Drosophila melanogaster: one gene and its partners. The gene in region 3 interacts genetically with the main gene of each other region. Each region holds a gene or a part of one and is shown on either strand. Other genes may lie near its edges.

Region 1 (4,616 bases), on a different chromosome or scaffold from region 3:
TCCAAATCGCGGCAGTAACAATAACAACAACAATACGTTAAACAACAATGTTAATAACAGCGAGGGAAAAGTGCCCGCCAAACAGAGTACCACCAAGATTAAAAAGCAGTTAAATGCGCTGCTGGAAAAGACAGTTAAAACGGCTAATCAAGCACATCGAAGTGCAGAATTGGAGAGCAGCGATCAAAAGCCCGCAGTCGAAAAAAGGCCAAATAATAGTAATGAAAATCAATTGCTACACCAGCGTTTGCATCAGCATGCCATACCTTTAACTGTAGAACCAGCCGCTCCACTCGAACAAACCGAGAAATTGGACATAAAACGAGAGGAGTCTCCGCAGCACAGGGAACTGCAGTTAAGTCTCCAAAGGGCGGCAATTCAAAATGGCCAGCTAACGGAAATGGATTTTGAAAGCAAATTGGCCGCGAGTAAAATTTCCATTGCCTTGGCCATGGCCAACAAACAAATGCAGCCGGAAAAGAGGGTCAAAACCGAAAGTTCCTCATCGGAGGGCGAAGGCGATGGAGACGGCGAGGAAGAGGAGGAGGAGGAGGAGGTGTCCTCCAGCGAGCATGGCGATTCCATAGAAGCTCACGATTCCCAGGATCAGGATGTCGCCATGCGGGAGATTTAAACAGAAGAAACCACAGTCAAATTAACTTGTGCCAAAAAGTCGAATATTGCTCATCCACAAAGAGGATAAACTATCCCAATAAACAAAAGAAAAACAAAAATAAAACTAAACAGAAAGAAAACCCCCATAGTTGTATTACTTAATTGTAATTTAATTGTCGCGTAATCCGTTCACCTTTAGGCTTGTATTTTATTTATTTAATATACTTAAACGCTAAGGCTAGGCTTTTGTAAATGTCGCATTTAAATGTCCGCGTAAACTATGGCAAATTGTAATCTGAACTTTTGAGAATTTCATGTGATAATGTATACGAGGCGATTACAAAATTGATTTTACTACTTGAACTATGAACTATACTATGTATGTAGGCCTGTAAGCTCTGCTACCCTGTAAATTGCAATTGAATGAAACATATTTATTGAGTGTTTGTACAAAAAAGGAATTAAGGCAACAAATAAGATGATTATGCCCGGAAAATGGCTTAAACTCGGGTTAAATTTATCGGAACTTTACATTTATTTAAAAAAAAAATTGAAACAAGATTGCGTTATCGTGTTAATCAGGTCATCAGAAAACCTTTTGTTCCTGAAAAGAAATAAGAAAAGCATGTTTTCTAAATTTGTTTTTATATATTTTAATGATACCTAAACCTGATTGGCAACTAAGTAAATTTAAATTATTAAACCCTAAAATATTCCGCTGAATTTAACAGGAGTATAAGACAATCGTATGGCTAATTGAACGCTCCGCCGTTACACATTTTAAATTCAACAAATTAAACGATAACAAAATAAACAGAATAAATTCAATCAATCACAGTCGACGCATTTTGGCGGGTGGGCTGGGAACAGATGGCTCTGGAACATTGACCACACCTTCTGCGGTGATAAGAAACTCGGCGAAATCATTGGGAGTCTCTGGTGAGTAAAGTATTTCCAGTTTGCGCACCGTTATCAGTTGATCACCCATGCGATGCTGCTTGGGCACCCGGGAAACACGCAGTCTAGTGCGTCCTAGGTGCGCCCACTGCAATCCCAAGCAGGGAATCTCATCCTGACCGTCCCTGGTGGCCACCTGATTCACACAGACCACGGCACAGTTGTACTTATCCGCGTAGCTGAGCAGAGCGTCTGCCAGTCGACGCATATGTCTCGCTCGTTCCAGATAATCATTATACAGCCGGAATATGGCGGCCACAGAATCAATAATGATCAGGCCAATGCCATGTTGTTGCATCAGTCGCGGAATGCGGTTTATAACGCACGCCAGGAGAGGTTCCTTTGGATTAATATTAAATAAGCATATGGCTACAAATTGGTTTGTCGACTCACTGCCTCAATGTGATTTTCCACAAAGATGTTTCCCAGAAAATTCAGCTCCATTTCGGGATGCCTCTTCTCGCAGGCTTTGCTCATCTGCAGCAATCTTCTCGCCGGAAAGGAACTCTCCGTGCATATGTAGGCCACGCCTTTGCCCAAGCCACCCAACTCACGGGGTAGCTGGACACAAAGGGATAGCTGAAGAAGCAACTGGGTCTTGCCCACGCCGGCTGCTCCACATAGCTCTGTAATTCCACGAGTGACCACTCCCCCGCCCGTGCAGCGATCTAAAGCGGAACATCCAAACGACACCCGCGACCATCTAACATTGACAAGCGGCTTGAAGAGGGAATCCGCTGTAATAAATAGTGGCAAACTAAACACAAGAGGCTACTTATACATTAGTCTGAGAATCACCTGACTGGGGCATCTCTGCCAGCCACTTGGCTGCCGCATCCTTGAGCACCCTAACATCATCCGGAGTGCATTTTCGCACGATTGTGTGCAGCGATTGCTGGCGGGTGTCCAGGAATCGCACCTTGGGAGTTGTCAGCACCTCCTCCGGTGCGAGAACATTAACTGGAGTACAGGAATTTAGTTGGCTCTTGAATAAAGTTGTTGGAACCCCAAAACTCTTACCCTGCTCGGCGATTTCTCTGATATGCTTGGGCAATTGATCCAGAAAGTTTGTCATCGCGATGCGATGGCATGTCCTCGATGGGATTGCGTGATATAATGGCTCCCCGAAACACGAAAGGTGTCTCAACACCTCCGGAATTGGAAGTATTCCGGGGGATTATTGATCAAACAGCCGAGCCATGCGACGACTTGCGAGCGAATTGAAAGTGTAAATAAACGCCGGTTGAAATCAGCTGTTGGCGCCAATATCTTAAGTGGGCCAATCAGCTGGCAACTACAGTGGGCATCCAATAAGGTAAACTATCAGTTGTTGTTTATCAAAAAAGATTTAAAACAAAATTTAGGAAAATTATTGATAATCAATTTGCAAAAATATTTATATGTACTTCCTAGTCAAATTTGGAGCTCAAACCCTCTCAAATTCTCTCAATCCTCTCCTATCCAAACACTATGCTAATATAAATATATTTCCAGTGAACACCACTTAATCACAAACACGAAACACTTGAGAGTATTTACATAATGGTTTTGTTTCAATCATTTAATTTCGAACATTCTGTTTTTTGCACAAGCATCAGAGGAAAACACAAAAACGATAGTCAGTGATCGATAGATGGTGGCTCCACTATCGATGATGCTCCTCCTTTTGGGCGAACTTCGTGTGTAAATGTTGTGGTTTTTCAATGTTTTTAAGCTAAGGGAACTGCGGATGTTGCATCCTGAAGGATCCTAGTGCTTGGGAGTGGGCTTCGAAAGCTCAGCCAAGGCACGGGCCTCAGCCTCTGCGCTGCGCTTCTTCTCCTCGGCGAGCTTGGCATCACGGACGGCCTTCTGCTGTGCCTCGATCTCGCGCAACTTCTCCTCCTTCTTGGACAGGCGGCTCTGGTGGGCGGCGCCGTAGGCAATGCCCACCAGGAGCAGGGACCATCTGCCGAACTTGATCAGCGGGGAAACGCGAACGGGAGCCTGCGACATGGTTTCTTCTTCAAGTTATGTAATTGTCCGACCGTGAACTGCAAGAAAAGGATGTACTTTAGTTATCCGACTTCCTTAATAGCGTTCCCCGTCTCGCTCCACTTTACAGATTCCTGGTTTTCCTAGTTTTATGCAATATTTGATGTTAAATAAGCAAAATTACCAAATTGGTGGAGCGATTGCAACGGCAGCGCAGTATAACCTTAAAACAGCTGTCAAAACTGACAGGCGGCTATCGATAGTTGTATTGGTACGGTGGCGGCGTTGCCAGCAAGCTTAAAAAAGTATGCAGAAATTGTGGAAAATATCATAACAATTTAAAAGAAGCCTTTATGACGACTATTTGTTGTTTAGTGTCCCAACAAAATTTGACGTATTACATACTGCAGCCTAGACTTTCATGTATATTTTACTCTTGTTACTAATAATTTTCAAATACAATTTTAACGGTAAAAGAATTGGAAAGAATAAAAATCTATTATAGAAATATAACTAATATAACTATTCTATCTGAACTATGGATAATGATTTAAATCGAAAATGGGAATTGAAAAAGATAAGATTCAAATTTTGTATGTTATCAATGTTGCGCAACGTTTTTCAGCACTGTCGGTTGGCCAAAAGTTAAACGTTCACACTGTGGGCAGAGGAAAAAGTATTGTTTTCTGGAAAACATGGCTAATTGCAGATAAAACGCGACTTGCAAATTCGGCAAATCTGTTTTTAGAGCCACCAATAAGGCGACAATTAGACATAATACAGAGACACAACAAAATTGACGCGTGTTAAATGCAAACAAGAAAATTCCAACACAGACCTTGAGTGGCTAACACACACACACACACTTGCAGGCCCTCCACACCTGCGTCACACATACACACCACACACACAGTGATAAAGTGGAGCGAGAGAGATAGAAGATCGAACCGTTCCCAGCGTTTTTGTTGTTCTTCTTGAAGCAGGAAGTGAATTTTAGGGGATCCTTTTACTGAATTTTGCAGCTGGCATTATGGTGAATGTACCACCGCTGCTCTGCAGCACCCCCCCGC
Region 2 (6,599 bases), on a different chromosome or scaffold from region 3:
GTTTATATATGGGTGTGTATTGTATGTGTGTGGGTTCCAAGTCAACTCCTAGCGATGTCCTTGGATCAGCTGCCGCCGCCGAAGCCTTAGTAGTAGAATATCTGGCCGGCCTTCTGCCGCTTGCGCTCCTCCAGCTTGCGATTGATCTCCTGCTGCCGCTCGGCCTTGCTGAGGGCTCTTGCCACGTACAAGAACTTGTTGTCGCCCAGCTGCTTGCCGTGCAGGCCAATTACGGCGGCCAGCGCCGACTGTGGGTTCTCGTAGGCGACGAAACCGAAACGCCGGGAGCGCCCCTCCTCGTCCAGCATGAGCTGCAAGGATCGGAGAAAGCAAATCGATGATATAAACAAATTAGCACAGATGGGCCAGGTGGAGTCCTCATCTTCCCCGCCGTCACAAACTCCTCGTGGCTACATGGGCATGCGCAGCAATGGCGCAAGAGAGGACTTAAGAGAGTGCAAAACTGTGCCACATGGTTGTCGTCCAACCACCCGGCCCCACGAACATCCCCGTAGGGAAGATGAGGTGACCAAACAACGTACCTTGTGACTGGTGATGCGGCCGTAGGGCTCGAACATCTCGCGCAAATGCTGCTCGGTGAACTCCTCGCTGAGGTTCTTCACATACAGATTCTTGAAGTGCGTGGCCTTCTCCTGCTCCCGGTCCCGCCGTGGTATGAACTTGACCACATGCACCTTCTGATTATTGCACAGCATCCCATTCACCTTCTCGATGGCCGCTCGGGCGGCCTCCTCCGAATCGAAATGCACAAACCCATAGCCGCGTGAATTGCCATCCTCGTCTTTGGCCACATTGCAGTTTAGGATGTTTCCGAACACCGAGAACGTGTCGTACACCGCCTTGTTGTCGATGGACCGCTCCAGGTTCTTGATATAGATCTTGCCACTGTCCGGAGAGCTGTTGCCTCCGCTGCCCCCAGTGGAGCCGCTAGCCAGAGCTCCCCCGCCGACTCCCACGCCCACATTGGCCGAGTGCGAGGACGTGGACGTGTGCCCGCTGCCCAGGGAGTTGTGGCCATGCCGTCCGAGAACAGCGGCGGCCGCCAGGTGGTTACTGGCTGCGTGCCCACCGCCGACGTGGCTCAGGTGACCAGCTGCAGCGGCGTGGTGGTGCAGCTGCTGCTGGTGGTGCGCCGCTGCCAGCGTGTGGTGGTTCAGGGCCGGCTGCTGCTGGTGGTAGTTCGCCGGATTGCCGCGGAACGTCATGGAGTTGACGAACATAATGGCTGCTGGCTGTTTGTGGAGCGTGGTGGCGGCTAGTGGAGTGCTGTAGGTGCTGTAGGTGGATTCTGCGTCCTGGTGGCCGTGGCTCTGGATCTGGATACCGCTGTAGATGGGCCCGAGAATCTTGACGGCGTTCTTGTCCTGGTCCTAGTATTTCACTTCACTTCCCGATTTACCTGGGATGTCGGGAATCTGCGTTATGGCCAATCTAGTCGTAATCCAGCGGAATGCCCACTTACCAGGATTTGCACACGGAATATGACCAAGGATTCGCGGAGTTGAAAAAATCGTTTTTCTCTCGCACAGACTCTTTTCAACGCTCTTCGCTCTCTCTTTCTTTACCTCTCTGGCTCTTCCTTTCGCTCTTTTGTACTTTACTTTTTCTGGGGGCTTTCACTTTTGGGCTGATTCTTTGGGGCTCTGCTGGGCTTTCGCGTAACACTTTCCGGTATTGTTTTCGAGTGGCACCTAAACTAGACTCTTCAGCAATTGCAGCAGTGTAAAACCTGGTTTTTGCAGCTTCGGCGATGGCCCTTTATTATTTAATTGTATTTTATGCAAAAACTGTCGCTACTAGTGATTAGTGATGTTAAAAAACATCGATGCATCTGCCATCGATACGTGAGGCCTTCATGTTCTTGGCCATACCATCGATGACTTTCTCGCTCCCGATTGCTTAGCAAGTCCACCCTCCACAGTTAGCGGATAATGGCCATCAAAGCAACGCTTACCAACACTGCACCCCTTGTTTTGGAAATGCAACCACAAAAGCATTGGACACTTGCTTACTTCAAATAAAACACATTTAAACAATTAGATGACGTGATGGACCAGAATGGCGCATCGGGAAGTCATCCGAACAGGCTATCCCAAGGAAGAGGAGCCCATGCGCGCGAACGTGGCGCCACAGTTTCCGCGGCGGCAAATCGGAGTAACATTATCGACGAAATGGCCAAAATATGCGAAGCCGATCGCCAGACTTTCGCCATCGCTCGACGGACTCGGGGTCACGAGCGGCTTGCGGTGGACAACAGCGACTTCGTCGCCGTGGAGGATCTTATTTTGTCCTACGCAGAGCCCACGCCCGAGGACCAGGTCGAGATGATCATGAGCGACTTTTGCTCGTCTCCAACATACGCAGAGGATGAGGATGAGCCCAGCCATGAGTCGGAGCCGTGGTTTCGATTTCGCAACAAAAGGATCAGAACCTACAGCCGGAAGAGGGATCCCAAAAGCCACAAGGCCGTTCAAAACGAGAAGCGTAGAGGTTCCTCAGGCCTCTCCGTGCAGAGGGATCTCAATACTTCGTTCACATCTATGGCTTGTGATTTCGATGCTTCATCACAGAAGATACACGAGGTCCTTTTGAACCTCAGTCAATACTTTTCCGCGACCGCGACAGCTTCCGGTCCGACTCCTGTCCCATCGCAAATAGATCTGCCAACCGAAGCAAGGCAGGATTCTGGTGACGAGTGTTTCAACGCTGAATTGGAGAACTTGAGGGATGACCTGTTGCAGAGCGGATTTACATTTGAGGCCTCTTTCTATGAAAATGAGCATGAGCAGGAAGGTAGGGAGTGGGATCGATATGGCAAGAAACACATTTGTAACTCCTTTTATATGTACGTAGGTCCAGGAACTATGGCAGACACTATTTATGGCGATAGCATGCAATCGGTTCCCACTACGCGCCTCCGATTGGGTAATTCATATGCAATTTATGTTGTTGCGAAGTTCATTAATATAAACCCTTATTTATAGAAAGTGGAAAACGTAATGTTTGGTCTGATGCAGACTCTACATTGAAAAAAGCTGATGTCGAAATTGCTGAAAATAAGAAACTTTTGATGGGCCAAACGCAAGCAAAAAATGTTGACATAGAGGAGAACACAAACTTCATATTAGAAGGCATACCACTAAGTGAATGGCTAACTCCGATGGAACTGCCCGAGATCTCCAAAGATGTAATCAAACATATACCCGATAAAAAGTTAAAGTTGGAGCCAAGTTCCCAGAAAGAACAAAAAAGTAGCAAAGATTCAAATGCATCAAAGGTTAGAGGAGCCTCAAAACAATCTTGTGATATTAACACGAAAAACGAAGGAACTACTATTCTGGATCAGCCTAATGCTGCAGAGCAAGAAAACCTATTGAACGACGGCGAGCTTCTTGAGGAGTTTCTTTTTAATGATTGGCAACCAATGCAGTGCTCTAATGGCCCATCAACCTCCAAAAACGCAATTCAAGGGCCTAAAGAAAACATCAATTCAATAAATCTGGACGACAAGGAGCAACCAGAAAAGCAGACTCCTAATAAAAGTCAGACCATAAGCAGTCATCAACTTAATGGCATTCGAAAGAAGTCCTTCAAATTTATCGAGGTTTCGGAAGAAATGAAAATTAAAGGCGAAGAGTTTGTAGACAAAGTTGTATCCGGCCTATATCACTTTAGTCACAAGTGCAACTTACGTACTGAGGAATACTCCGATAATCATAGTCAAGTAATGGAATCAACACAGTGTGCGGAATTCAAATCAGCCCCAAGCAAGCCCATCGAAATATTGGATGGTAAGGAAACCTACAATGCAATAGCTAAAGTTGACGTTGGAGAAATAAATGGAAAATTCAGTCCTCTCAATAACGATACTATAGCAGAGCCCGAGTTTTGTGGCTTTCGCACAGCCTCAAATAAGGCAATTCCGATTTCTGAGAAGATGAAAATCAAAACTGCAGAGTTTATGGCTGAGTTTCAATCCAAAGAAACAATTCAACAAAATGATTATTTAGTCCATCAGCCAAATGACAAACCGACGTCTGTTGGACTTGATACAGCCTTAAAAAGATCAATAGAGAGTTCAGAGGAAATGCGATCGAAAGCTTCCAAGTTGGTGGTCGTTGATACTACAATGCGGGAACCGCATCAACCCACACTTGACCCAGTTTGCCGTGACTTAAATGAATCACAGTTTTTCGGCTTTAGAACAGCGTCAAACAAAGCCATTGAGATTACCGAGGCGATGGAGAAGAGAGGAGCCATGTTTCTGGCCCAGTCTAAAGCTACAGACCAATTAAACGGGTGGCAGCCAAGCGATTTTCCTGATGTTCTACCCACCTCTCCAAACAATGAGATTCATTCAATAAATGTTGAAAATAATAAGGCTGTGAATACTAAAACCGTATCTGAGACCGAATTCTTCGGCTTTCGTACCGCTTCAAATAAAGGAATTGTGATTTCGGAAAATACGAAAATCAAAGTTGCACAGTTCATGAGTGAATTTCAAGCCGCCGATGCAAGCACTGACTCGAACCAACCAACTGTGATCTCTGAGGAATCGAGAAATATTGATGCCAAGTTCGTAGATGAAGCGGCGGCAGAAGACAGTGCCAACAAGCCAACTTTTTGCAATGTACAAAGTCTAAAAAATACCTCAGATATTGAGCATTTCAAACACGACTTCTTCGTGGAGCATTCTGCAAAGGAAGAGCATCCGCTGTGTAGCCAGCCATTGGTGAGGACACCCAGAAGGTCGCAGGAGATCCACTCCTCACTATCGCAACTTGCCGGCAAATCACCACTGGACCAGGCCACCAAGAAGTCCGTAATAGCTCGCCGGAACCTCCTGTCACTAAAAAGAAAGCGAAAGATCATTTTGTCAACTGAAACTTCCACTTCCTGCGCCTTACCCACTATGGAGCGATTCGCTCCCAAGCCTTCCTCGACAAGTACTCCGCTGGCCGACAGGGACTTAAATCGCTCCAAGGACTGTACAAAGAATAGACAGGATGCGGAGGACATGTCCCCTATTTGCATGCAACCCAAAAAGAGTCGAAGACTTGGTCTGAGTCGAAGTCGCTATTAGTACACATTAAGTAAGCGTTGCTTTATACCCAAAATATTTAAACCGCTGGCCGATTTGAAATGGGTAGAGATTTAGTTGAATTAATTAAGGTATGCCATTAGTGGTCTCATCATGACAGATTGAATAATTGTATAAGTTATCATAATAAGCGTTTTTTGTTAAGTGCACCTTATAAGGAAATAAACGATCCGATAAGGGCCACCCGCTAACCAACTTCCTTAAAGGTGCCCACTTACGAGTTCCGCGAAAAAAACGAGAAGAGACGAAATCAGTCCCACAGTTCACAAAACAAATGCGAAAAAGTAGTAGTCCAGGTCGAATGCCTTAGCCGGCGGCTCATCATCGCGCATCAAGGTATAGATTCCCTGATGGATGAGCTCCCGGAAAGTGTCCGCCTTCATTTTGATGCTGATCCCGTGCTCCTGCAGGCGCCTCATGAACTCACTGGTCATCGCCAAGTACGGCAGACTGTTGGACACGCAGTAGGATTCGAGGGTAAAACCCACGGCCTGGCGAATCATGTTGAAGCGCGGCGTCTTCAGCAGGTACTGCTGCATCAGGATCAGCTCCAGGCGGTCCTCGTACAATATGTATATGTAGCTCTGATTGAGCCCATCCCGGTACGCCTTTAGCAGGGTGGCGTTCAAGCTCAAGCTGTTCCTGCGGAGCCGTTCGGGCAGGAAGGTTTTCGCCTTCATCTGACTTCTGTAGTACTCGTCGTGCAGACTGGGGTAGGGAGCCCTGGCCAGATCCTCCAGAGTGTTGTACTCCTCGTCGTACAGCCCGGATGTGAGGATGCTGGAGAGCGTGGCCAAGTAGACGTTGGTCAGTATAAAGCCTCCGATCGTTAGAATGCCATGGATGGCCACGTCCCTCCAGCCAGCAACTCTGATTTTCTGGTGGCAGTTGTATAGGATGTGGCTGAGGCTGTACAGCAAGCACTTTCCAATCTCGACTCGTGCTCCTCGCGCAGCCAGATGCAGCATTACGGTTCCGTACAAGACAGTCGAAATCACGACCGCCCAAAGGGTCCAGCCGAAGGGCTTGGAGTAGTACAGATAACTGGAAATCGGACGGGCGTGGGGAGCCATGAAGTACTCGCGGATAATCGAAAGTGGTGCTGTGTAGGCCACTTCCAAGCTGAAATCTTTGAAGTAGCAAACAATGTCGATCTTTTTTGTATGTAGCATTTCAGCAACGGCCAAGTATACATCATATTCCGGCAGATCGGGTATGGGTACACTCTCGATGGTGGCGTTATAGCGATAAGTCAGCTCCTTGACCGCTGTGAACAAATATCCTGCTCGCACCAAGCCACCCTGTTCGTTGGAGTACTCAAAGTCCCGAGGAGCTAATGTGCTTCGAAGTATGCGGACAGGAAAGCCTTGAAAGTTTCGAATTATCCTTGCGCGATCGAAATACTCGGACACATTTGATAGGCTGATCGGTTGAATGCTAGGATACGGTAGGTAGCTGTAGAGGCCCTTTCCGCTCA
Region 3 (4,695 bases):
CTGATTAACCAGGACAAAACCAGCCCGGTTACCTGGTGTGTGTCCGGCAATTGCTTTTCGCTGCAAAAGGAGCACGAAACCGCGATCAAGTTCTTCAAGCGGGCTGTCCAAGTGGATCCAGACTTCGTCTACAGCTACACACTGTTGGGCCACGAACTCGTACTCACCGAAGAATTTGATAAGGCCATGGACTACTTCCGTGCAGCAGTGGTTAGAGATCCGCGGCATTACAATGCTTGGTACGGCATCGGCACCATCTACTCCAAGCAGGAGAAATACGAGCTGGCTGAGATTCACTACGTGAAGGCGCTGAAAATCAATCCACAGAACTCGGTTATTCTCGTGCACATCGGCGCCATGCAATTCTACATGAAGAAGAAGGATCTGTCGCTGCAGACGCTAAACACGGCCGCCACGCTGGACCCCAAGAACCCGCTGACGCGATTCCATCGCGGCTCCATCTACTTCTCGCTGGGCAAGTACCAGGAGGCGCTGCGCGAACTGGAGGAGCTCAAGGAAGTCGTGCCCAAGGAGTCGGTGGTGTTCTATCTGATCGGCAAAATCCACAAGACGCTCGGCAACATGGATCTGGCGCTGATGCACTTCAGCTGGGCCACCGACCTAGATCCCAAAGGTGCCAACAATCAAATCAAAGATGCCTTCGACTCAATGGCTCATCCCAGCTGCTGTCCGGCCAACACTACGGCCCTGGACGTTGATCTGGAGCCCACTTCGGAGCGTTCCGATGACTCGACGCAGGCGCAGCAGGACGGAAGCTACGACAGCGACTACTAGGGAGCTGCAACTCCAAATTCACGCGGTTGTATATACGTTAAATGAGAAACACAGTAAACAAAAAAGAAAACTTAGTAACAGATACAAAAAAAAACCCCGATCGATTGCTGCTGTATTGTCGTGGAGGAAAGGAAACCAATTATGAAGTATGATAAAGTCTAGATAACGTTTAGCATTAGTAATTTAAAATATACAAAAAAGTAAATGGTTTAAACAAAAATTGTGCACTCTGAAAGTCTAAGGCAAAATAACGAAAAAGAAACAACAACAACAAAAAACAACAACAATTAAATACCACTTAAAAATATACAAAAAAAAAGGGAGATATACATTTTAAATGTTAAGTTAAAGCAACAAGGATCTTATGGGAATTAAATATGTTGGACTTGGACATTAAAACTATTCAAAGTGAAAACATTATACTACTGCTATAAGTTCCCCATCATATCTAAGGTACTTCCAATTCATCCTCTTCATGTTTTATCGGAAAGCGCAGGATTTGCTCGTGGCTCAAGCCCTGAGTGATATCCAGCACGCAGCGCAGTCGCTCCAAGTCAACGTTCAACATGGTGGCCAGTGTGGGCAGATGCTCCTCCAGCAAAATGTACTGACGCGGCCGCTGCATGGTCAGAATGCTGCTGATGTCCTTGGTGCCGAAGATCTCGCCAATGGAATCGGACAGCGAGAAGTTCAAGGAGACATCGGAGTCGAGATCCGATGGCGATTTGTTTACGATTTCACCGCGCCGCTCCGGAGTTTGGATCTCATCGGGTGTGAGGCTTAGATCGCTAAGTTGCATAGCTGGAGCAGATAAGGATCGTCTTCGAGTGGCACAGCTGGAATCCTCAGCGGGCGGAAGTTGATGAACAAAATGGGCGGGATATTTGGCAGGCAGCTTGGATGGCGATGGTGTGCTTCCTAGCTGATCGGTGGAAATTCTTGACTGCAGTTTCTTAGCCGGTTGCTTTGGTTTTCGACCACGTTTTTTGGGAGTGCATTGAATGCTTCTCCTTTGTGAATTCCTTTGATGAACTTCTTTCTGAATATTATTCTTCTTCTTTACGGTCTTTTCAACTTCATCTAAACTTTTGAGGTGGATAATCTTATATGGAGGCTTCAGGTGAACGATTCTATTGGAAGTTTTCAAGGGGACAACTTTATCCCGGGATCCAAGATGGACTAGATTATCCGAGGATCTCACGGGCACCAACTTAGCTGCAGGCTTCAGGTGAACCACTTTCCCTTGCTGCAACAATAGTTCACTGTAATCATCTTCAGTGTTTCCAAATAACTGAGGAGAAAGACTTTTGGGCGGAATCTTCTGCAGATCCCGGTTTTCCTTGTCGATGAGGCGCTGTGATCGCCGCAATGGGGAGTGCTGGGAGCCACCCATAAAGGAGCAGTAGGTGGAGGCCGGACTCGGGACAACTGTTGTCCTGTCCATACTGTTTTATACTACATAAAGAACACCAATGTAGTTTAAAACTATTATTCAATGCAAAATTATAAAAAAATAACAGTTGGCGCGATAGCAGGACTTATCAATTGAATAACAGGACCTTATTATCGACAAAAGCTTAGAGCTGCCACGCAATTTAATAAAGTTATCGTTCGTAAAGTTATGTCGAATTTAGATTTAAATTGAAATTGATGAGGTAATATATTTTTAAAATAAAATCCTATCACTTATTGTTGCTTAAACTAAAATTTGTTTCAAGAAAGACTATTATGAGATAGATCTTCGACTAAAAATAACTCAATACTCATAATGTTTTCATTTTTTTTAAGTTTGTTTATAAATTTAACAGTGGGTAAACAGTGAGTCCACCTGGCAACGCTCAATGCAGTATTTTTGTGTTACCATCTCCTTACCTGTAAGTATAGTGAATATATTTTCAGTATTGACTGCCATGCCGCATTGTTTTCAATCTGGTCACATCCAATGGCAGCGATTTTACGTAAAACCCTAATTGTAAGTAAAAAATAATAAAAATGTTCACTTAAAATCCAATGCCACCATGAATTTAGCTTGCGGGAAGCCTGCATAGGAGTTTTGCCTCCGCCGCCAAGGCCGCAAAAGCAAAGCCCGTCAAAACCAGCACCATTTCAGCTGTCGGCGAGTCCATCGCCGCCAAGGGGTAAGCACTTTCTTTAATTTATTTACATAAAAACCAAGTAAATATTCTCCTGATTGTAGCTTCTTGCGTCCCCATAAGCCGTACTCCCCACCTGCAGATGCCGCCGAACGTATTCGAACCGTAGCCGCCTCGCTTCAACTGAAATCCGACCAGTTGGGGAATCTCTCCGAGAAATTCGAATTCCTGAACGCGTGCTTCCAGGAGCTGCAGCACGGAGTGCCCAACTCCCAGGTACATGAACTGCGCACCGTCAGCGATGTTATCGCTTTCTACCAAACAGCTGTGGACACCACCGTGCCGTTTGATGCACTGAAGCGCATCGAGCTGCCGGAGAATTTGCACATCCAGTACGAGTACGTGCGATTCCATCCCGAGACAGATACCAAATTCGACGGCAAAACGGCTTTCCCCAAGAGCTCCACCCTAGTCACCGGTCTCAAGTACCGTGGAAAGTACGAGGGACACGAAGCCAAGCGATCCTGGCCTTAGAAACAGCCAATTGTTAGTTGTTAATGTCTTACACTTATTAAATGCATTCTGGAAGCCCGAGATTTACGTCATATATATTAGGTATTACATTTATTAAATGTTAAATATGCTTAATGGCTAAAATTAATGAATACTACTAAGTATTGGTAGTCTATAAATACTCGGCTAAAATCTGTCTGAGATCCGAGTTGTAAACACTTTCCAGGGCCGCCAACACTCGATCGTCAGCAAGTAGCTCCATTAGCCTTCTGTCCTCCTTGACTGCCTCGAAAGTGGGATACATGAGCTCGCTGGTGACATCGGTTACTGCCGGCTTGTTCATGATGCTAAGAATCTTCTTCTGCAGCTCGATCTCTGGATCGGGAGCTTTTAGCTTGGCCAGAGCATTGGCCTCGCCCACCTCTCGCTTCAGTTGCTCCTCGCGTTCGCCTTCGAGGTACTTAAGAATCACCTCGTACTGCGACGCGGTCAATGGATGATTGTCTGCCAGCCTTTCCAGCAGCCCCTGCATTTCCTGGGGATGTCGTCGCTGTCCCTTGTGTATGGATGTTGACGGCGGTAAGACGACAGCGTCGCGCTGTTTTTTGAGCCTAAAATCGGTGGAGATCAGGGTGATGGCGTCCTCCAGCGGCATGTTGCGATGCTCAGCGGGTACGCCATACAAAATGTTTACTGTGATGCTGTTGTGTTCCTCGTGCTGCGGCGTGACCAATACCGCATACAAGCAGCCGCGCGAAGAGATGTTGGCCAGGACCTTGCCTAGCAAGACGTCCTCGTTGGGAAAGAGTACATCCACGCGCAGACTGGAATTCTTTAGCCGCTCCTCAATGTATTCTGCGTATTTGCTGCAGGTAATGAAAGCCATGAGTATCGTCTGGAGTTATAAGGTATTGGGGATCATAACTTACGTATTCTCGCGATTTTGGACTATGATCTCGCAATCATTGATGAGGGGTTGACCTGCTGCCGCTGCCGCCGCTGACATCACAAGTCCACCCTGAACTGTCACCTGGCCTCCTTGATTTGAATTTCTTTTGGCGATAGCATTGGCCGCCTTCGATTTAATGCTGGCGTTGCGTACGGTGAGCATGTTTTGCTTAAAAGTGGACTTGTGCAGGGCGGAGGCGGCTTTATTGGCCAGCTCCTCCGTTTCAAACTGCACGAATCCGTAGTTCTTCTGGACCATCGAACCGAGCACTTTGCCATATGGCTGGCAAATGCTCACCAGCTCCTCGCGCGTGCAAACCGGCAGGTTGCCCAAGAAGATTCGACT

What was found. A genetic interaction does not mean that the proteins touch.
Region 1: of mei-P22 (region 3) and spn-B, changing one suppresses a phenotype caused by changing the other (phenotypic suppression), as found in Drosophila melanogaster (2 studies listed by BioGRID).
Region 2: of mei-P22 (region 3) and Brca2, changing one suppresses a phenotype caused by changing the other (phenotypic suppression), as found in Drosophila melanogaster (one study listed by BioGRID).

Annotation. Positions count from the first base shown.
Region 1 is NT_033777.3:14,326,242-14,330,857, reverse strand, and holds spn-B (spindle B), read right to left. Parts: upstream 2,808-4,616; 5' UTR 2,648-2,807; coding exon 2,593-2,647; intron 2,533-2,592; coding exon 2,371-2,532; intron 2,310-2,370; coding exon 1,966-2,309; intron 1,913-1,965; coding exon 1,448-1,912; 3' UTR 1,250-1,447; downstream 1-1,249. Other genes in the region: NK7.1, read left to right, coding at 1-634; ATPsynE (ATP synthase, subunit E), read right to left, coding at 3,322-3,567; Afti (aftiphilin), read left to right, coding at 4,577-4,616.
Region 2 is NT_033778.4:24,524,232-24,530,830, forward strand, and holds Brca2 (BRCA2, DNA repair associated), read left to right. Parts: upstream 1-1,940; 5' UTR 1,941-2,069; coding exon 2,070-2,814; intron 2,815-2,874; coding exon 2,875-2,946; intron 2,947-3,005; coding exon 3,006-5,104; 3' UTR 5,105-5,322; downstream 5,323-6,599. Other genes in the region: CG4612 (uncharacterized protein), read right to left, coding at 87-311, 543-1,241. UniProt on the Drosophila melanogaster protein: Involved in and required for double-strand break repair by meiotic and mitotic homologous recombination. During meiosis, has a dual role in the repair of meiotic double-stranded breaks and the efficient activation of the meiotic recombination checkpoint.
Region 3 is NT_037436.4:7,241,932-7,246,626, reverse strand, and holds mei-P22 (meiotic P22), read right to left. Parts: upstream 2,240-4,695; coding exon 1,244-2,239; downstream 1-1,243. Other genes in the region: Cdc27 (cell division cycle 27), read left to right, coding at 1-795; mRpL50 (mitochondrial ribosomal protein L50), read left to right, coding at 2,738-2,767, 2,824-2,933, 2,993-3,422; Neos (neosin), read right to left, coding at 3,574-4,267, 4,331-4,695. UniProt on the Drosophila melanogaster protein: Required for formation of the mei-W68-mediated double-strand breaks (DSBs) that initiate meiotic recombination.